2 linked regions of the Medicago truncatula genome follow. The protein of the gene in region 2 binds, or shares a complex with, the protein of the main gene of each other region. Links are inferred from orthologs where the notes say so. Each region holds a gene or a part of one and is shown on either strand. Other genes may lie near its edges.

Region 1 (11,388 bases), on a different chromosome or scaffold from region 2:
CAGTAAATCAAATTTAATTAAAGGCAACTTCAAGCATATCAGTACTTAAAAAGGACAAGGGTCTACCTTTAGAACTCTCTGTGATTTCTTCGAGGACCTTCTCCTCATCGGTCAACAACTTTTGCAGTTTAGGGATATTATCCTCAAGTTTTGGTATCATATCATTTGAGTTTTCACCCTCTTTCACAAGAGCTTCGATTTTTGATGAATCCTGAAATACGAATGAATGGATAAGGCACATCTCTCATACATATATTCAAGTGCAATAAATCATGTATTCCCATTACCTTTTCCGCTTTATCCTCCAGCTTCTTGATCTTCTGATTCATGTGCTTATAATCTTCTCGAAACTTGACATCCTGCCTCTCAAACTCCTTGAATTCTTCCTTACACTTCCTCATATCATTATCTAGCTCCTGTTACATGAATAAGAGAAGAAAAAACTTGGTTACTACCTGATGAGCTTATCACCAAGCATATAATGCCATGCCATGTCGTCATGCACACTGATAAGTTCAAGTCAAGTCCCATGTCGTGCAAACCTCTTGTATTTGAATATACTTGTTGTGCTTAGTTTCAAGCTCTTTCAGAATCTGTTTATTTTCTTGGATCTTATCCCTGGAATAAGATATCACAGAGTTCTTCATGAGTCAAGAATAAGAAAGGCGAATAGTTAGGAAAGTGATACATATATATAGACAAAGAAACTAAAGGTGAAATTCAAAATTACCTTTCTGCCTTAAGATTTTCTTCCAGGCTAGCAACACCCACTTGTAACTCATCCATTTTTCCCCCTGTATCATCAACAGCTAGCGTTGTAGCCTTCTCTTGCCATTTCAACAGAGATAACTCTTTGAGCATGTATGCTTCTGCTTCATTCTTCACATCCTGTTTCAAAAAAACTGTTAGGGGTTGTTCAAATATCAAGTGATCCATATAACCACAATTTTACATGCCTCCAAGCTGTCTCTTTCTTTCTCAGATAGCTTGACCATTTGCACCACACCGGATCTTCTCTCATTTAGAGATTCTAACCTAAAACATCAACAATACTTCAGACATTAGAAATTATATACTATAACTGAAATCCAAGTGATTATTTAAGCAGTGTGTCACCAATAAAGTATGAAAAACGGGTCCTTATTATAGAGTATATATAGTTTATACTTTCTTTTGTAATTAGTAGCTTAGGCAGTTAAGTGATGATAGCTGTATAACAGCTGCCGCAGCTTGCTAGAGAGATGTGGATGGGTTGGGCCTAAATCAAGTCCAGAAAACCAACTTTTAAGATGAGGGATGTTCATCACTTATAACCACTTTTCATGCCATATCACTATCCAATGTAGAGGTAGGGGTAGACCTAGAAAAACTATACAAGAAACTGTTAGGAAGGATCTAGAGATAAATGAGTTGGAAAAAGACATGGTTTTTGATAGAACACTATGGTGTCGTTTGATTCATGTAGCCGACCCCACTTAGTGGGAAAAGGCTTGGTGGTTGTTGTTGATCACTATCCAATGTATGACTCTCAGCCGTTATAACAGAATATCTGAGTGACTGGGAATAGGGGCTGTTGTCTATTAAGTGGTTGTAACATAACGTGAGTGGAGAACAAGAAAGGAGTTTGTCAATCTAATATGACTGAATTGGTCTTATGTATAGGAGAGGAATAAAGTGATTCAGGTGCTAGGGAACTGGGAGGCTGCAGCCCCTTGAGTTGCTGCTTATCCAGTCTTTACTACTTTTTCTGTATATCCTTATCTTGTATAGTTATCTTCTTACATGTAATGGTATCTTTAACCACACAAAATTTAGTTTCCTATCAATCAGTTTTCTTAGTTTCCTAACTGATCATAAGATGTTTTAAATCAAAAAAGTGAACTGAACCACTGTTAGTTTGGGTAAACACGTCATAAGCAGTTTAGTAAACAGCTTATAACATGAGAGCTTATAGGTAGGTAATGAGAGCTTTATCAAATTATAGCTCATGTCAAAAGAGCTTATGACATATATTAACTTTCGTAAGCTTATATGAGAAGCTTATTAAAATGACCCAAGAACTTATGGGTAGGCCTTAAGCTATGTTTATAAGTCTATCCTAATACTTGCTTGGGTATTTATGTCACACATAACCCCAAATAAACTCCAAAAAAACCTCTTATGTGTGCCCCATATATTTAATTGTAATTAGCAAATCAAACCAAATTAGGCAGCAACAACAACAAACAGTATCTATGCTTTTTTAATGTTCATTCAGAAGTTTGCATTCCAGAATTGAAATGGAGAAAGAGTGCTCACTGTTTATATGACTCATCAATTTTTTCTACATATTTGTTGGTCCCAATGATATCTTCCAAATATTCTAGAAAGCCTTCATCATGAGGTCCTTGAGATTTTGGTTTCATAAGTGAAATCTGCTCAACTTCGCCCTGATAAGAAACAGTTCAAGCATCAAAAGAGATATATAGGACCAACCACCTGCAAAAAAATATAAATTAAAAGCATCTTATATGAAATAACCAACCTGAAGGATCAGAAACCTATTATTGTCAAGGTCAACACCTTTTCCCTTCAATTTCTTGGTAACTTCAGTGAAGTTACTTGAACGGTTATTAATGTAATACTTAGAGGAGTTGTCCCGAAAAGCAACCCTTGTAATCACAAAGTCAGTTCCAGGAACAGTCTCGTATGTTCCATCTTCCTGCAGCCATACAAAATTCAATTCTAATTTTTAAATATGAAAGATCAAAGATGAAAAACACTAAAGGGTCATCAAACTGTAAATCTGAAAACTCTTCTTACCACTGGCAGTGTGGTATAAAGGTCTACTTAAAAACAAGCTCGTGACAGAACAAACCAAAGGAAAATAAGCAAACAAAAAATAATTAAAAAGCCAAGAGTAAGGGGCCGGTGTGTAAACTAAGGGCGCTTATCATTTTCCCCCTTGATTTTCCATTGATAAGTTTTACTACTAAATGTCTGCTGGAAATTCCACCTTAATTGCGACACACCTCTAGCCACCGTAATTTCGGAACAGGGCTGCTTTCATTGCAGCCTCCATGACCTTCATTGTACTGGCTTACATAGCGTTAGGGGGTGGGTTTAAACTCACATCACCTAGAGATATGGCTTAAGTAGTGCTTATAAAGTTTGGACAGTCCTCATTCCTCATGGGGTTGAGTTATACCCAAAAGCCCAAATTCTTTTCAGCTTTGTTCCTTCTTTAGTTTTACATTCTGGTTATACTTCCTTTCTTATTTAACCTTTTGTAAATTCTAAAAATCATGAAATAAAGTGAAGAGAAGCGATGCCATTTTTAGAATTAATAGTCAAAATATATTTATATTTTTGTTTGCTATTGGCCTAGTGGCTAACACATACTCAAATAAACATACACAGGAGAGGGGAAATGTGGAGACCCTGGATCGAACCCAGGCACACACATAAAATATCCTCACAGCCAAACCACTATATCATAACAACGCAGACTATAGTGATAATATATCAAATGAAATTGAAAACAAAAAAAAATATCTACAATCTTTTCGTTCTTCACAAAAAAAAAAAAAATATTGGAAGTCAAATTTAAAGAATTTATTGCTTGCCCAATTTATATCTCATCTTCAACAAAGATAACAATAAAAATCTAAATAGCACCAACAAAGCAGAGTAAATAAGAAAAGGTACCAAATCAACAATCTCCTGAAAATGAACAGAAACCCCAGCACTATCCAAATTCTGATGATTGCTAGAATTATGTATAAGCTCCGAAACTTTATTCAATCTCATCTGCAACCACAAGTTCCCAATTAAACAAAAAATTCACAAAACAAAAAAAAAAAAAAAAACTTTCCAAGCACGAATTACTTTCTAGAATATTCTCAAAAACGCACCTGCTTGGCTCGTTTTCCAAACACAAACAACATAGCATCAATAACATTACTCTTCCCACTTCCATTCGGTCCAACCACAGCCGAAAAACTCTGAAACCAAAATTTCACCAAATTTTAACTTCAAGTAAAATTGAACCAATTAAACCAATTGAATTCAAAAAATGGAAGAATCTAAATCAAACCTTATGAAAGGGACCAACGCGTTGTTCGCCGGCGTAAGATTTAAAGTTCCGCATCACCATTTCTTGGATGAAGAGCCTAGGTCGTCCGCGAGCTGATTCAGGTTGCGATTCCATTGAATTGGAACGAATTAGGGTTTGTTTGGGAATTTAGGGCACAGATCGAGAAGAAAGTGAAGAAGAAGAGTATCTTTTTGACTTTCGATTTTCTCCACGGTTATGTTAAGTTGCAATAATTCGAAGTGGAAGTTGAAGTGGAAAAGCACGTTGGCGGTAAGTGAAATTTTGGGGAGGGTTTCAAATTTTGAAATGAGGGAATTGGGGAAATTGTACTCAACCTAAACAAATACATTGTTTGGTTGAAGAGAAAGAAGAAGGTCAGAAATATATGATAGAGGATTACTTTTTTCTGTTTGGCTAATCAGTAGAAAGAAAAGAAAGTATTGGTGGGCTCCACCCAAAAATCAATCCCCTCTCCTACGCTCGAAAAGGTGACATAAGAGTTAAACGTTCTATTTGCTAAAAATAACGGATAGCTGATGGTTAATAATGAATAGTTTATAGTTAATGATTGATAACTGATAGCTGATAAATGTAAAATGGCATAAACGGACATTCTTAATTCATACTAAAATTGATATCAATTAATATTTAAGTATTTAAAGCATAGTAATTTAAATTTATTAATTTAATATATCATTATACTTCAGTTTTTTAATAGATGACCAAAGAAACAATTCAATTCAATTGTTCTTAGAAAATCTATCAATTAAGTTACTTCAAATTTTGTTTACCAAATTATTTATATCTGAAAAATCATAAATATTTCTTTTTCTTTGACGCAATTGTTCTTGGATAAATAATATAAGTATTTTTTGAATGAGAATAAATATAAGTATTTATGTCATTTACCACTAAATATATAAAATTTTCTTTCCTTTCACTTTCATTCCTACCAAACAATCTTGAATTCATCTTACTTTGTATTCACTTTCATTCCTTCAACATTCTTTCCTTCTACGTTATTTCTTTCCACTTTATATTGCCATCCAAACAAAGCCTACGGTTTTTGAAGGCTTCAAACATGAAGACGTATTTGTATCGGGTATGGATATTTCATGGATACTCGCAATTACGTACACATAAAGTAACATAATTATTTTTATTTTTTAAAAAATATTTTATCTGATACTTATATGTTACTCCACATATATCGTTACATGCAATTTTCAACTTATATTTCGAGCAAGTCAATTGCATTCTGATTGAAAAAGGTCACTTAGTGTTCGAATCAAGCAGAGGCAATTCAAGACCAAGACACTTCGAAGACCAGAGTAAATCATCAGGACTACTTGAAGAATTCAAGAAGAATAATGTCCAAGAAGCCTCAGCAGCTATTCAAATCGCCAAAGATTTAAATTTAGGAGACACTTGCCATTAATGCAATGTGGTACTTAATTTATTTTCTATATAAATTGAAAACTCAAACTTCAGTCGGAGTTCATTTCCTTTAGATAAAACTGAAAAAAAAATCTGCCCTCGTAGGATAATACTCCTACCGACAATGTTGAAAGAATGATGTATGAAACTCACTTAGATTAATCACAATTTTGTGCAAAACCTTCGTTTTATCCATCACAATTTTGCTTCAATGTCACGGTCTTCATTTGATGCAATCCATCATTCTCAATCGTTCTTGTGATAAACCTTCTTGGTAGGGTTTATACACCACAATTTATCTTCAATTTCTTGATCTTCGTTCGATAAAATCCATCATTCCCAATCATTTTTGTTTCTTCAATTGCATCATTATAATCATCACTTCGAATCTATGCTATAATTTCAATTGATTTGAGGGAACTCTATCACTATTTGTGTTCATTGATTTGTTGTTATTCAAATTGCTGCTCACATGAATACCATATTTCAAAATTTATGGATTTAGTGCTTTCATGTTTATTGAGTGATTTGATCATTTTTGCTCTTCGGTTTTTCACAATTGTTTGTATTATTTAGTGCTTTCATGATGATTACGAGTTATGTATTCTTTGGGGTAGAAATAGATTTGTTTTCCTCATAAATTAAGTGACTCTCTCATGTTAGAATATTAATCCATAATCATAGGGTAGTTAGTTACATAACCATTTCTGGACTTTGCTGAGTAGTTACTGATAACTTGCATAACAAGTCAAGTGTATATAACTAATTGCAATGCTCTTTTTCATCAATCAATGAATAACTAGATTACAACGAACTCTTTCTTTTTTCTAACTCATTCATACTCTTTCATTTGTTTATTCATTAATCCTCTTACTTCCAATACAAGAAACCTATTGTTGCTATAATATTTGGCATCTTGAGCCTTGGGTTTTGGTTATGGGAAACAGATGATCTCTGAGAAATACGAGTGAAGTGTGTGAAATTTTGGAATTTCTTGCAAAGCAATCATGGGTACTAATGGAGGCTTTGCCCCATCAAATTTGTTAACTTTGGATAGAAATAACTAGGAAAAATGGAGTGCATTGATTAAGTTGTATAATGGTGCTCAAGATGTTCTTAAATTGGTACATAATGGCTATGAGGATCTGGATCATGCGAATCCTATAGAGGTGCAAAGAACTGCTTTTAAGGAATTGAAAAAGAAAGACTGCAAGACACTATTCTACAACTAGAAAAATGTTGATACAAACCACTTTGAAAAGATTTCAAATATCACAAGATCAAAGGAAGCCTGGGTTAAATTGGAGAAATATTATGAAGAAAATGATCATGTAAAGCAAGTGAAGCTTCAACCCCTGATGAGGAAGTATGAATTGATGATGATGGACGAATATCAAAGAATCATTTATCACTTATCAAAATTGCTTTATGTAGTGAACCAGATGAAAGCATGTGGAGAAACTATTATGATCAACAAGTTGTTGCAAAGGTAATAAGAACTTTGACCTCAAAGTTTGATTTCATAATTGTAACCATTTAAAAGTCCAAGGATGTTAAAACTATGAAGAAAGAAAAACTTCAATCCTCTCTAGAAGTACATGAGATGCTGGTGATTGAAATAAGTTAAAAAATGTCAGTACAACAAGCATTGTAACCACAATTTACCAAGAAAGATTAATATGATAAGTATTTAAAGAATAAAGGTAAAGGAATGTTCAAAAAAGGAAGTTGGTCAAAGACTTTGTTATAAAGCTGAATCATCTAAAGGAGGAGAATGTTCTAGAAACAATTAGAATAAGAAGAAATAATTTGACAGGAGAAATGTATAGTGATATAATTGTGAGAAGTATGTTCAATATGCTGATGAGTGTTGGCATAAGAAAGATTGAAAGAAAAATTATAAAGGTGAAGAAGGCTAATTTTGCTCACGATAATTTTGATTATGAGGTAGTTCTATTGATGGCTACTACATGCGAAGTTGATCCTTTACGTGAGGAATGGTACCATGATACTAGGTGTTCAAATCACATGACTAGACATAAGGAATGACTCGTCAACTTTGATTCTATCAAGAAGACAAATGTCAAATTTGCAAATTATAGCAGAAGGCATTGGAGATATTGCTATCAGAATGAAAGATGACAATAAAGCACCAGTAAAGAAGGTTATGTATGTGCTAGGAATGAAGGGCAATGATGGTCGGATTAGGCAAGTGTATCAAATCGTTTATTAAGTAATAAAGTGATAAGTAGAGTATCGTATCCAGTCCACAAGGATTGTCGTTTCATCCAAACAATTTGCGTTACTTATTTTAGTTTGACGATATAAAATAAAAGAGTTAAGGGTTAGAGATTGCAATTTTTATCTGTGAGAAAGTTGCCTGTTTGGTTGCAGAAAAGTAAGCAGCAGTTATGACTCTTTGAATCATTAAATTTTTTTAAGAGTTTAAGGACAATTAAACAAACTTTGTTTTAGTAAGGACTGGAATTACATGTAAATATTTTTTGTAGGGATTAAAAAAACTATTAAAATTAAGTAAATACTAAACTTAAAAGTTTCCAATTTTATAGGAACCAAAAATATATTTAACCTTAAAAGAAAATTAGAAATTGTTGTATATAGATGAAACAACTATTTTTTTTTAGAACAAGCTAGTGTAATTACATGTTCTTTTTAGTATAAGATGGACAAACTTTGAAGGAAATAATTTTTTTTTTTTATGTTTTAAGGAAACAATATTTGGAATGATGAAAGTGAGTGTAAATTAGTGAGATAGGTGTAAATAATTTGATAAAATTTATAAAAATGAGTGTAAATAATCAAGTGGATGTAGGTTGCTAACTTACACTTTAATGATTCTAGGTGGGTGGAATTTGCTAATTTACACCTTAGTATTTTTAGGTGGATGTATATTAATTAACAGCTATATATATATAAGAAATCAAATTACACTAATGTAATGTTACACCTTTCAATATCGTTTTACTCTACATATATTTTTTAAATTTGAACATTTGATTGTAAACTTATATGATATAGATCATATATAATTTTTTACGTATGATGGAAGAAAGAGGGGGAAATGATGATAAGAAAGATTGAAGAAGGATGAGGGTTTTGGGTTGGTAAATTGTACAAAAAGAGGGTTAAGAAGAAAGATGATGAGGTTGTTGTTGTTGCGAATATGAAACTTTGTAAGGTTTTTTATTAAGTTTTTCTTTTGTTTTCTGTTTTTTTTTTCCATTAAACTCACAATTATGTGGCCTTTTTTATTATTTAATTATCGAAGTGTGTAATATGTTAGTCACATGTTTAATTTAAATGGTTGAATGACGGATTTGACTAACTTATTCCAACGCAAATAACGTTTTGGATCATTTTAAAACTTTTAAAACATAATGAAATAAAATTTAAACTTAAAATAAACATAATGGATCAATCATCTTTTACGCCGTTTGTAACAAAAGGACAAAGAAAATGCAGGTATAATTAGCGAGAGCAGTCGAAACACACAATATTCTTCTATGAGTCCTCTTCCAGCAAGTTCTCAATGAAAGTTCCTTTACTAGAACATTCAGAGGATAGGCATCTCTGAGTCTCAAAGTTACCTTACATAAAATCTGGTTTAGTTAGAGAAGGTATTCCCTCTGTTGCTAATTATAAGAAAATTGACTTTTTAATTAATGATGTATGTAGTATTTATTATGTACCACATGTGTTATTAATCGAATAAACTTAAAAAGTCAAATTTACTTATAATTAAAAAAAAAAAAAGAGTAATACCTATGCCGACAAACTAGTTGCCCTAGGTCATACATCATTAATTTTTACGTGGTGGAACTTCTTTTTGCTTTTTCCTTTTGGGGTAACGGTATAGTCCCCCTATTTGTATATATCTTTCCATTTTTTTTAATAATACTTATTAGCCCTAGATATGTGATATGACTCGAGATAATTTAAAATAGATGACGTATTGTATATCCTGCGTATCTTGCATCAATATTTGCTCGATACTTTCCGATACGTATCAGGAGAGTATCCGAATATTAATTTTTTTAAAAAAATAATTATCTGATACTTTTCAGATACATCTGAGATACGAGAGGTAGGCAGTGGAAAACCAAAATGTGCGGGCTACCTGATGATTCTACTGTATTTGGTATATATTTAATTGACTAAGTAACGATGTATTCTTTTTAGGATATATCATATATGTAATTGACTAATTGTCGCTTTCTTTATTATCAATATTACTTACATTTATATTTCTATTGTTGTCGCCGTCTGTTTTGTGTCTCTTTGTTTGTTTGAGAACGATGCAATTGTTAATTGTTGTGTGAAGGCAATTTCATTGTTGTGCCGTATCGTTTTTCTATGTCTGTTTGGTCTAGGTTTTGCGCCAATTTTTTTGCTTTTGAGTTTTAGTTCATATTTTGTATTTTGAGTTTTAATATGTAGTTTAAATTTAATTTTTTATTAAAGTATCTCAGTCGTATCGTATCTTGAATTTTAAAGTTTTCCCATATCAGCGTATCGGTACCGTATCGTATCATGTATCTAGGCTTCATAGGATAGGAGCTTAGGTGTCAATCTAGTTGGGATGTTTTCTATCCTTGATGTCACTAAATTCTTGATTTAGAAAGAAAAAAAAAATACAATTAAGACTTTTTCTAAATAAAAATATTTTCAATCATACATCATAATGGTCAAAAATCAATTTTCTTCAATATTACATGGTCAAAAATCAATTTTCTTCAATATTACATATTTGGATTTGAGATGTTTGACCTTTAAAAATATTTTTGTAAACAATTACAATATTTTATGCATAATATTAATTGATGTGGCGATTTTAAATATTTTTTAGGTTGTGTAGGTAAAATTATTTTGAACCGTCAACCAACCTCTATTAAACTCTTAAACAATATCATGAAGATTTAATATTTTGCTTCCACAAAAGAATGTAATATTTTGCTGTTATAAAAAAAATGCAATATTTGCAAAGAAAAGTATTACGGTTGTCATGTATCAATCACAAATTCCTCAAAAAAAAATGTTTCAACCACAAATTACTAGTTTGATAAACAAACTATGGTTGATTAATAATATATGTGTGTGTATTAAAAGGTAAAAAAAAATAAAAAAATAAAACTTAACCGACCTACATATTTTGTCAACCATATAATTTTCAAATGAAAATTCACTTACTTTCCTATGTGCTTGATTTATTTTTATTTCTTGACCCAATTATTATGTGCTTGATGTGATCGCTATAAAAGACTGAGATCCCAAAAGAAATAAATATTACATGATAGAAGAATGAAAACAAAGAAGAAGTATGAATATCCATCACATAGATACATAATCACAACTTATAATATTGCAAAAGAAAAACACAACTTATAAGATCCATAAAATCATTATTTGAGCCGGATCATTACATCTGAACTAAAATATTTAGTCATACTTCCAAAACTTCATATCATGGTTATGATGAATCATAGATATAGTCATGAACCACTCTGAGATAAGGAGAAAAAAAAATGATATTCAATACGTTAAAAAAACAATGGAAATTAAAAATACCGATAGAATATCTGTCTTTTTCTTCCTTCCAATACACACATATAACATATATATATATATATATATATATATATATATATATATATATATATATATATATATGAAAGGAAATTTAACAATTTTTTAAGAAGAAAATCATATGCTTATCACTGAGATTTACGAGAAGATGACTTCGGGAGATTTTTCTTCTTGTTGGGTGCTGCATTCGCCGCTTGTGATGTTTCCAACGATGATGGTGCAGCAACATCAGATTCATTCGTCACACCTTGAGCATTCTTCCGTCGAACTCG
Region 2 (11,203 bases):
TTGGAGAAAACTAGAATTACATAATTCAATTAGAAAACATTACAAATGTTCCGAAAACCATAGGTAATTGTTCTAATACTCCTCTATTCTTGATTAAAACTAACTGAAAATGGTTGAAAAATATGCTAAAAATAACGTAAGATAACATGTCATCACTATGCATCCTTTATCTTTATAACATGCATTGTGTACTTCCTCCATGATTTATGTATATATGTTGTATTTATATTATGACCTCTACTATTGTGATGGACTAGTTTGAGCAACTTCGGCTTTAATAGATTAAATTACATAGAAATCGTGATAAAGGTTGAACCATAGAAGAGAAACGACTTGGATTGGTGACCAGATGCTTTTGTATTTGGTTTCAACAGGGGTTCTCTAGTACCCAGCCAACGTTGTCTTTTGAGTTAAAGATAATCCTAAGGATCTTAGTGAAGTTATCACTTCTTCATTTATTTTGGGTAGATGTTTATTTTTAATTGAAGTTGTAGTGAGTGTTGTAACACCCCGTTTCCCAAAATCAATTAATTAATAAACATGCATCAGAGTAATTCTCAAACGGGCATGTCACACTATATTTTCAAAATTTCTTAAATAGAATATAAAATCTATTTAATAAACATCCTTCAAAATCATCTTTAATTTTGCAGCGGAAAATTTGCATCAAAACAACAACAACAACAATTTAAATCTCCATAATTAAATCTTGGCATAAAAGCCTTATCAACATAAATTCAACAACCATAGGGCTACGTCAGCAATATTCAAAAATTGATACATAGGAATGAAAAACAATAAGAAAATCTCATCCCGTACGTATCAGAGCCCTAGACACTTTGAGCCACCACTCCTACTAATCTTCAGATACCTACAAGTTACCCATACGAAGGGCAACATTTCCAAGCAGAAGGGGTGAGATTTCTCAAACAATAATAATAAGTGTAAAATTCATCAATTACAATTAACAACATAGACATCACCATATGCACTCAATAATAATTCTTCTTAACATCCCCTTAATGCTCATGAATAGAAGACAACTTAACATAACCCTCCTCGAGTACATTTAACAACTCATAGGTAACATCATAACCTCATCATACTCATCAACATAAACAACGTAAGAGTACACCACCTCTTATAGACAACAACAAAGTAAGAGTACACCACCTCTTAGAAAAACGATAAAGTAAGAGTACACCACCTCTTATAAAAACGACAAGTAAGAGTACACCACCTCTTATCAAGACGACACGTAAGAGTACACCACCTCTTATAAAAACAACAAGTAAGAGTACACCACCTCTTATAAAACGACAAGTAAGAGTACACCACCTCTTATAAAAACGACACGTAAGAGTACACCACCTCTTATAAAACATCTAACATGATCAATCACCAACAACGGATACAACTACGACTTCAACAACAACACCAACGATGATAACAACATCGACAATTTGCATAACTTACTTATGACTCATTCGGCAACGTACAACCCAGCACGCTTACAATTTAAACCAACATTCACATCTTAATTAAGATCCAACAGCAACACTAGTAGCACACAGACATCCCAAAATATGACAATACCAAATGATAGTCAACACTACTTAAACATCATACATAATCCACATAAGGCATTTGCAAATTTACTATAAGATTAACAACCTCAACCATCTTTTATCAGACTCACTGAACATCAACAACATTTTAATAAACCTTAATTCCTAACCCAAGGATCAACTCACAACATGGGTTAAATACTCCTAAACACCTTAATTGAACTCATAGTACTTCTAGTTTTAAGGGTTGGAATTATCCCATAAGTTTTGGATTAACTTAGAAATGGTTATGCTGAATTTTCATAAGATTTCACTAAGACCTCCATTGAGTATTTTCATCATATCTCAAAAACTAAAAATCATTTTCAAGTCAAACCAACGCCATTGGAAAGCTAACAAAATTATCTACAACTTTCATGTTTACACCAAGACCCAGTTCAAAACGGAAAGGGGTGAAAATAGTGAAATAAGAGGGATCTGATTCACAGAAATCGTGTCACGATTTTAGAAAATCGTGCCACGTTTTTGTGCCCAGAACCATTGAATTTTCGGCCAACAAAATCGTGCCACGCTTGCCAAATCGTGACATGTTTTAACAGCATCAGGTCCAGAAATCTGCTTCTCAAAAAGTGCGATTTTCACCATTTCGCGCGTAAAATTTCAATCGTTAATCGGATTTTGGTGCCGTTTTCGCCTACACGCTCCTGACACTTGGCTCTATCTTAATCTACAGCAATTTCAAGTCTCAACCATCCCAAGGATCATTTTCCCCAAACCTCACATAGTCTCTTATTTGCAAAACGTTTAGACACCGACTTTTCAAGGGAAAATCCCAATTTTCATTAACCCAATTCAATCCCCAAAACTGATTACAACAATATTATATGACCAACCTATGATCAGAACACCAAAAGACTATAACCACAAAGGTTTTCTTACTCAATTCCAAATAATTTCAACAATTCAACCCTAATTCCCAAATTCCCAAATCAAGAACAACTACCTGTTACATCCAATTTCAAAATTATAAACTTAAGATTACTGAATGATAGTCCCACCCTTACCTTAGATTGATGACCAAAGCTCTACCCGATCTTCTCTTGGATACTCTTGGCTCCAGTGGCGGACCCACGTTGGGCTCAGGGGATGCAGCTGCATCCCCTCAAATTTTATAGTTGCACCTAATTTTCTAACTTTTTGTTGAATGAACCCCCTGAAAATTTAACTATGAACCCTCTGTCTTTACTCTCTCATTGAACTGTGTAAATGACTGCCTTGCATTACATTTTATTTGACCGAATGGATTGTGTCAGTGAGATGTGCATTATTCGCATTTTATTAAATTATTATTATAAAATTGTAAAAATGATTATATTATAAGGTTACAAACATATATAACTAAAATTCGACATTAGATAGTTTTCCTTTTAAAAAAATGTTCTAGCTAATTTAATAAACATATACTAAAATTTCATAATTTAAATGTATGTTTTATTTTTTTAGGTCAAGTAGCTTAGTCTCTAGAGCTCATACAATTAAGTTGTGGAGAATTGGAGTGTCCGATGTTCGAACCCCGACCCCTGCATATAAAATGCAATATTCCTACCAACTGAGCTAAGCTCACGAAGATATGTTTTAATTTATATACATTATAATAATTATTAATTGATGTTAAAAAGTTTACACAGTCACATGAGTTTAACTCAGCTGATAGAGGTATTGCAGTATGCAAGGTACTACGTTCGAACCTCAGATTCTTCGCTTATTCACTTTTAGAAGCGAAATTTTTGTCGTTAAAACTTGACAAAAAAAAATGTTTACACTCATATATTAGAGTCTGATTTGACCATCAATGTCAGGATTGTTAAGCTTCACATTCTTTGTGGTTATTCATGTTTAAGCATGATTTAACCATTTATATCCTCTGTGTGTGGATTTTTATGTGGAATTTATCACTCTGGCAATGTTAACAAAAAAAAAAAGTTTGCATCCCCTGAACTAGGGTCCTGGCAACGCCACTGCTTGGCTCCCTCTTGGTTTTTCTCCCAAAAAATGCTTCCACGTGAAAATGTTTCTTACTGATCGTTTCCAACTTCCCCAATTATAACACTTAACTCCTACTTAATTCCTATAATTAAAATATAACCCCAAAACTCCAATTATTCTAAATTCCCACTTATTCTATTAAATAGTAACATAACTTATTTAATAAAATATAACACACCACATAATAATATAAAATCATATATATATATATATATATATATATATAAAGACTTTAAATCGACCAATAATAATTAAATAAAATTGGGGCGTTACAAGTGTGTCTTTCCAAAAATCGTATTCAATCTTATCATCATTTTAGAATAGGAGTTGAAACAAAAAAATTCTCTAACTTTATGAAAGTATGATCATGCCTAAAGTTTTAAATCGTTTTCAGAAATTGATTAAAAAATTACACGGTCGCTGTCAAAAATCAGGGTGTAACATAAATTGAATTGATATATTAATGACGACACAAAAAATAAACCACTAATTGTATAGACGTATTATTTATCATATATGTTGAAAGAGAACAAACCCTATATTTATATTTAAAAATTTAAATGTAAGAAAAATATAAAGTTAAGTGTGAGAAAAATTAGAAAATTAGGAAAATTAACTAAGAAAATCTCACGAATAAACGTTGTTGTAATGAAGAAAGAGAATAAGATAATAACAAAAATACGATAAAATATCGTGTACGTAGTAAAAAAGAAAAATTAAAAATGATAAAATGGCTTACCTTTAATATTGGTTGCAACAAGAAATAGAGAAAGAAAGATAATAATAACATAAACATACTTGACAATTTCAGTCATATTCACCCCCTTTTCGTTTAAGAAATAGTTTTATAAACACATGTTCTCCATACCTTAATTAGGTATATTTTAGCCAAGGTTATTAAATCGGACCGGACCGTCCAGTTCAACTGGTTGGACCGGGAACCGGACCTGTATCCGGTCTGATCAAAGCTAAAAATCGTCAAGTACCAGAACCGGTTAAGAGCCGGTAAACCGGGAAAAAACCGAAATTTTGGAAATATATAAGCACAATATTTATAAAACACTATTTATACTTGGTAACATATTGTATGATAGACACTTACTCATAATCTTGGAGCGTAATGCCCAAAAGCTTACTGATCCTGCCATTAACCTCATTGTTGTCCTTCAGAACATCCCTTTCTACCACGTGGCCAATAACATCTGTAATTTGACAGGAAAACCTATATAAATCTCGCAATAAAAAAACCTAAATAACTACTAAATATATTATACAAACAGACAAACATATTATCTTTTCCTCTCTATCGGACTCTAGTATGTCATTAAAAGGCAGGATATCAAACTGATTCATAGGGATATTGCTTGCATCAAATTTTGTAAACTTTGTCCTCTCAATTAAATTGAGCTTGAATTTGTGATGAGTGGTTTGATACTTAGGATCGTTTCTGGCAACCAAAACATTCTCAACCTCATATGTAGCAACTTCTTCCACCATTGACTTAAACGTAGGAACCAAATGCTTTTTAGCACTGGCCTGAATCTTCCCAAGCTGCAAAAATATATAAATATATAGTCAGATGCAAAATGCTATTTCATCAACATATTTATCTAAAAAACTGGTCAAATAATATAACACAAAATTGTAACCTTATCGTCCAGCAACATCACGTGGATAGAATTATCCTCATTAGGCTTGTTAAATTCAGGAATTGTCCTGAGGTGTATCACACGAACGCGCAGCTTAATGTTGATTTTCCCAGCTACAATGGCGGCGGCAGGGGTTATGATTGGAGCCATATGAGCTGAATGGTTGGAATGAGCAAGCAGAAATAGGATGAAATTTAACTTTGATTTTTGGCCTTCATAAGTAGCTGAGGAGGATATATATTGAAAGCATCCATAACTCATTGTATGCATCCACACTCGGTATCAACCGTAAAGCATTGGAAAATGCCTGCATTTAAAACAACATAGTGCAAGGAAAATGGAAAAGCACAACAACTCATTGGGAAGGAAGCTAACATGGAATGCTATTGGAATACCAATAGTTAGTTTGTGTTACATTTTTGAATTTCAAATTGGCTTATTAAGTATGGCAATTTAGGTTCCCACTCAAGTAATTAGGGTTGGCAAAGTAGGGTTTGTCTATTGTACTTTTGGATTATATAATAAGATAAGATAAGATAAGATGACATTTTTGGAAAGAGAAAAAGTCAGTCCAAAAGAGCTGAAATGAGTAATTTTCTTTATATATTATATAATTTATATATATGAAGTAGGTGGTAGACGACGAATGTTTCCGTAGGGGATCTACCTAGCTGGAATGTTGTGGATTCATCTTCACGATGTTCGTACCTCTTTGTTTAAAAAAAGATTTACCACATCTGTTTTAAAGTAAGTGTTGTTTTAGCAAAAAAAATTGTAAAATTATTTTAAAATAAACATCACCTCAGTTTCCAATGCAATAATAATATTTTTTTTTTTTCAATTATATCATTCAATTAAAAATATTGATAATTGAGATTTGAGACCAAATTCTTGTTCCCGCTTCTATCCACTTCCACTTTCATTTGAATTTCGTAGTTAACCCAACGGTACGCTTCCACACAGACCAGATCCAACGCAACAGAAGAGAAAACCTCTCTCTCTTCCATGGCTCCAACCTTCGTCTTCCCTCGCACTCTCCAACACCTCGAACAAGATTCATCCTCCGAAGACAACGACAACAACAACAACAACAACAACAACAATCTCTCAGTCCAAAACCCTACAAACATCTCCTCCCTCTCTTCCTCCCAACTCGAAGAATTCGTCAAAGGCGTCTCATTCGATCTCTCCGACAGAGAAATCCTCTGCATCCAAGACCAAGACGTATTCGACCGTGTTTACTCTTTGGTTCGCGGTTACTCTTCTTTACATCATTCATGTAAACTCAACCTTGTTGAAAGTCTTCGTTCTAATCTCGCTGTTCTTCTTCCTAATGTTGATTCGCTTTCAAGGGTTTCTAATGAAGATGTTGATGATCATGTTCTTGTTGTTGACCGTGTTGCTTCTCATCGTAATGCTTTTAAAATTTACACTTACTTTCTTCTTAATATTGTTCTCGCTGAAGATTCCAACAATGCTCCTAAGGTATGTTTGGTTCGTTACTTTTAATTCAAATTGATTTTTCCTTTAAATTACTTTTTCATTCAAATTAGCTTTTCTAATTTGTAATATTATAGGTTTAAGATTTTAGGATAAATTTTAAGATTATAAATTATAATTGTTATTAGAGTAAAATAATCTAAACTTTAACCGCGTCTGACATTAATTAGTTTATGTTTAATTTTTGTTTCTACTGGGGCAAAAATTGATTCTGACATGTTTGGTTGTTCTCAATTATAATTGATTTTGACTTCCACAATTGATTCTACTTGAAGCTAGAAATTCAAGCTTTTAACTCTAGAATTGATTTGAACACTCAAATTTATTGTTCAATTCACTTTTATGTAAATGTACTTGAACATTAATCACCTTACCTTCAACTGGCTTTTAGCTATAATCAATTTACTCAAAATAAATTTTTCTCTGAGCAGAATCAGTTATAGTTCAGAATCACTTTTTCAAACACATTGTTTCGACAGGAATTTTGTATTCTCAGAACTAATGTGTTTGTCACTAAATTTTCAAGTTGAATTTGCGAGTTTATTCCCCATTTAGTTTGAAGCATGGTGTATTGCGGTTTCAGGTGGTAGCCGCAAGTAGCAGGAAGAAACAACCTGCGCATTCGTGGAATTGGGAGCCACAGAGAGCTCGGATACTAAATCTCATTGCAAGCTCATTGGAGATAAACCTTGAATTACTTTTTGGTTCATCTGACCCCGACGAAGGTTACTTGTCTTTCATCACAAAGTGAGTAGTGATATCCTTCTTTCTTAAGTTTGTTAACACTACATAGGACTTTCTGATTTTTCATCCACTTGTTGTAGAAACGCATTCACCATGTTTGAAAATGCCGCGCTTTTGAAAGATTCCAACTCAAAAGATGCCCTCTGTCGCATAATCGGGGCCTGCTCCACAAAGTACCATTACACGACACAGTCTAGTGTATCCATCATGCATCTGATTCACAAGTATGATTTTGCTGTCGTCCACATGGCCGATGCAGTTGCTGGTGCCGAAAAGAAGTATTCAGATGGAAGCCTTGCAACTTCCATTGTTAGGGAAATTGGAAGGACTAACCCAAAAGATTATGTCAAAGACACTATTGGTGCTGAAAATGTGGGGCGTTTTCTTGTGGAGTTAGCTGACCGTATTCCAAAATTGATATCAACTAACATTGGCATTCTTGTTCCTCACTTTGGTGGAGAGTCTTATAAGATTAGGAATGCTCTTGTAGCTGTGCTGGGTAAGCTAGTATCAAAAGCGTTTAAGGATATTGATGGTGAAGCGAGCACGAAGAACATTCGGTTACGCACAAAACAAGCTATGTTGGAAATTTTACTTGAGAGATGTAGGGATGTTTCTGCTTACACAAGGAGTCGTGTGCTTCAGGTGTGGGGGGAGTTATGCGAGGAACACTCAGTTTCGATTGGTTTGTGGAACGAGGTTGCGGAAATTGCTGCTGGGAGATTGGAGGACAAGAGTGCAATAGTCAGAAAATCTGCTTTGAATCTGTTGATCATGATGTTGCAGCATAACCCATTTGGTCCACAGCTCCGAGTAACTTCATTTGAGGCAACTTTGGATCAGTATAGGAAGAAGTTGAAAGAGCTTGAGCCTTCAGAAGGTTCTGACAATGAAAACTCTAACGTGGATGGTGAGGTAGATGATTTGAATTTTGAAGCTGTTGAGAAGGAGCGGCAAGAGAGTGTGACTGATACATTCATGTCACAGGAAGAAGATGCAATCCCTATGCAGAATGGTAGTGATAGTAGTGTGCCTGATGTTGGGAACTTGGAGCAGACTAGGGCCTTGGTTGCATCGCTTGAGGCTGGTTTGAGATTCTCTAAATGTATAGAGGCCACAATGGCTACACTTGTCCAATTGATGGCATCATCTTCTGCTTCTGATGTTGAAAATACAATTCTCTTGTTGATGAGGTGTAAGCAATTTCAAATTGATGGCTCAGAAGAATGTCTCCGAAAGATGTTGCCCCTGGTAAGCCGTAGTTCTTTCTATTGTCTAACAAGGATATTCAAGGTTTATGTAGTCGTTGCTTCAATGGACAAGTTGGAATGGTTCTGTATGATCCATGTAACTGACCCTGTCTGGTTAAGTCGATGGATGTTGTTGTTTCTTAAATATGTTATGTACTGCGTATATGAATTATAGATTTTTTCTGAAATTTATTCTTTCTTTCTGGCATTTGCTCTCGGTTGTAGGCATTTTCTCAGGATAAATCAATCTTTGAAGCAGTGGAGAATGCTTTCCGTGCAATATACATAAGGAAAAACCCAATGGAAACTGCCAAGAATCTCTTGAGTCTTGCAACTGATTCCAACACAGGAGATCTAGCAGCTCTTGAGTTTATAGTTGGCACACTGGTCTCTAAGGGAGATATATCTTCCAGCACAGTATGTTTTCATGCATCGGCTTGTATAATATGCTGTATAAAATAGTTAATTGAATGCCTCTAAATTTTTCTTTAGGACTATATTTTATACCCTAGAATTAGGAATCTGACTGTTTTTAGGCCTGAAAAGATAAATGCACTGAGGTCGCGAATTTTCAAGTTTATACTTCTATATTTCATTTCTGGGGATTTTACAATGAAATACAGTAATGAGCCTATATTTTTTAACAAAAATGACTGACTAGCAACACTACATCCTAGTTATGTCAAATGCCAAATGTCAATCCATACTGTAAAACAGTTCAGTGGTTCTTTTCTGAGTTAAATAAAATATTTTATAAGCTTTAAATATTTGATGTAAACAAGGCTGTATGTTTTCTTTAGTTTTATATCCCAGTCTAAAAATTTAAATTTTAAATATGATTTGGAATGAGATTGGATGATACTTTCATGCTTACATATCATTTGGTGAAAAATACTGCTCTTAAATAAACATAAAACGTGTACATTGGGAAGTAGGACTCAGATTGTTTATGCTGGCAATGGCTACAATCTCTTATTTGAATTAGTACGGGTGCTGTCTTTTATTTCCTATATCAAAATAAATTCTTGCTGTCATCATATTGAGTTTGGTTCTCATCATTGGTGTGATTTTCTCAAATTGTCTCCACTATCGCAGATATCAGCTTTATGGGATTTCTTTTGCTTCAATGTTGGTGGAACGACCGCAGAACAAAGCCGCGGTGCTTTATCCGTCCTTTGCATGGTTGAAAAGACATCAACTGGTGTGCTTGGCTCTCATTTACAAGACATCATTGATATTGGGTTTGGTCGTTGGTCTAAAGTTGATCCTTTACTGGCAAGGACAGCTTGCCTTGCTATCGAGAGGCTTTCTGAAGATGACAAGGCAAAATTGTTGGCAAATAATAGTGTTAGAATATTTGGCATTCTTGATAGTTTAATTACTGGCTTTTGGCTTCCAGCAAATATTTGGTATGCAGCTGCTGACAAAGCAATAACTGCCATTTATGCCGTTCACCCTACTCCAGAAATCATAGCAGCTGACATGATAAAGAAATCCCTCAGTTCTGTTTATAAGGATTGTGGTGGTAGTGACACTGACACTAGTAGCAGCATGCCAATCACAGTTCAAGTCGCAAAGCTGAGTAGATGTTTATTTGTCGTAAGTCATACTGCCATGAATCAATTGGTCTATATTGAATCATGTGCCCGTAAAATTCAGAAGCAGAAACTTGCAAAAGAGAGAGAGGACATTGAGAGTCAGAATACAGACAGCAATGGCACGGCGTCAACTGGCACACAGAAGGTGCAATCAGTGTTTTATACTGCTGTTCTGTCATACTTGATAGCTTTAACTAACTGTTATAAGCAACATATTTTGATCTTTTACTGTCAAATTCTTATAAATTTGACTTATTAATGTGCTGTAGGATAATGATATAAATGCCGAGTTAGGATTTGCAGCCTCTGAGGATGCTGCACTTGATGCAATGTTTGAAAAAGCAGAAAAGGAAATTGTTTCTGGCGGTTCAAAGGACAAGAATTTGGTTGGTATCTGTGCAACCTTTTTGTCAAAGCTTTGTAGAAATTTTGGACTACTGCAGAAGGTGATTGCTTTGATATCCAATCCTCCTTCATAAAAATGAACTATCTTGCATTTTGTACTGATCTGTTCATGATTTGGTATCTTTTTTGGTCATCATGCGTATAATGAATGACTGTATATGGAAACCATCACTTACATTTGAAATGGGAAAATTGAATATAATTTCTATTGATAATTATTGTCTCACATACAATTTTAAAAGATCATAGGAAATCAACTTTTTTTATTTTTATCTTTATATATGATGCTTTCACGGCTTTAATTCATGATTTTGTTGTTTGATAAAATAAAATAACCATTTCCATTTCGTCAGTATCCAGAATTACAGGCTTCTGCAATGCTAGCTTTGTGTCGATTGATGGTCATTGATGCAGACTTTTGGTGAGTTACTGTCAATTCTATA

What was found. The genes of interacting proteins can lie anywhere in the genome.
Region 1: condensin complex subunit 1 (region 2) and structural maintenance of chromosomes protein 4 share a complex: the UniProt entries of both Arabidopsis thaliana proteins name them as parts of the condensin complex. The link is inferred for Medicago truncatula from reciprocal best matches to the Arabidopsis thaliana genes AT3G57060 and SMC3.

Annotation. Positions count from the first base shown.
Region 1 is NC_053049.1:33,257,356-33,268,743, reverse strand, and holds the start of structural maintenance of chromosomes protein 4, read right to left. Parts: upstream 4,407-11,388; 5' UTR 4,190-4,406; coding exon 4,076-4,189; intron 3,984-4,075; coding exon 3,894-3,983; intron 3,790-3,893; coding exon 3,688-3,789; intron 2,702-3,687; coding exon 2,525-2,701; intron 2,430-2,524; coding exon 2,299-2,429; intron 1,036-2,298; coding exon 957-1,035; intron 889-956; coding exon 731-888; intron 619-730; coding exon 543-618; intron 417-542; coding exon 288-416; intron 212-287; coding exon 67-211; intron 1-66. UniProt on the Arabidopsis thaliana protein: Central component of the condensin complex, a complex required for conversion of interphase chromatin into mitotic-like condense chromosomes.
Region 2 is NC_053042.1:20,608,443-20,619,645, reverse strand, and holds the start of condensin complex subunit 1, read left to right. Parts: upstream 1-6,176; 5' UTR 6,177-6,268; coding exon 6,269-6,748; intron 6,749-7,346; coding exon 7,347-7,510; intron 7,511-7,587; coding exon 7,588-8,758; intron 8,759-8,982; coding exon 8,983-9,174; intron 9,175-9,852; coding exon 9,853-10,500; intron 10,501-10,624; coding exon 10,625-10,801; intron 10,802-11,113; coding exon 11,114-11,181; intron 11,182-11,203. UniProt on the Arabidopsis thaliana protein: Essential protein. Regulatory subunit of the condensin complex, a complex required for conversion of interphase chromatin into mitotic-like condense chromosomes.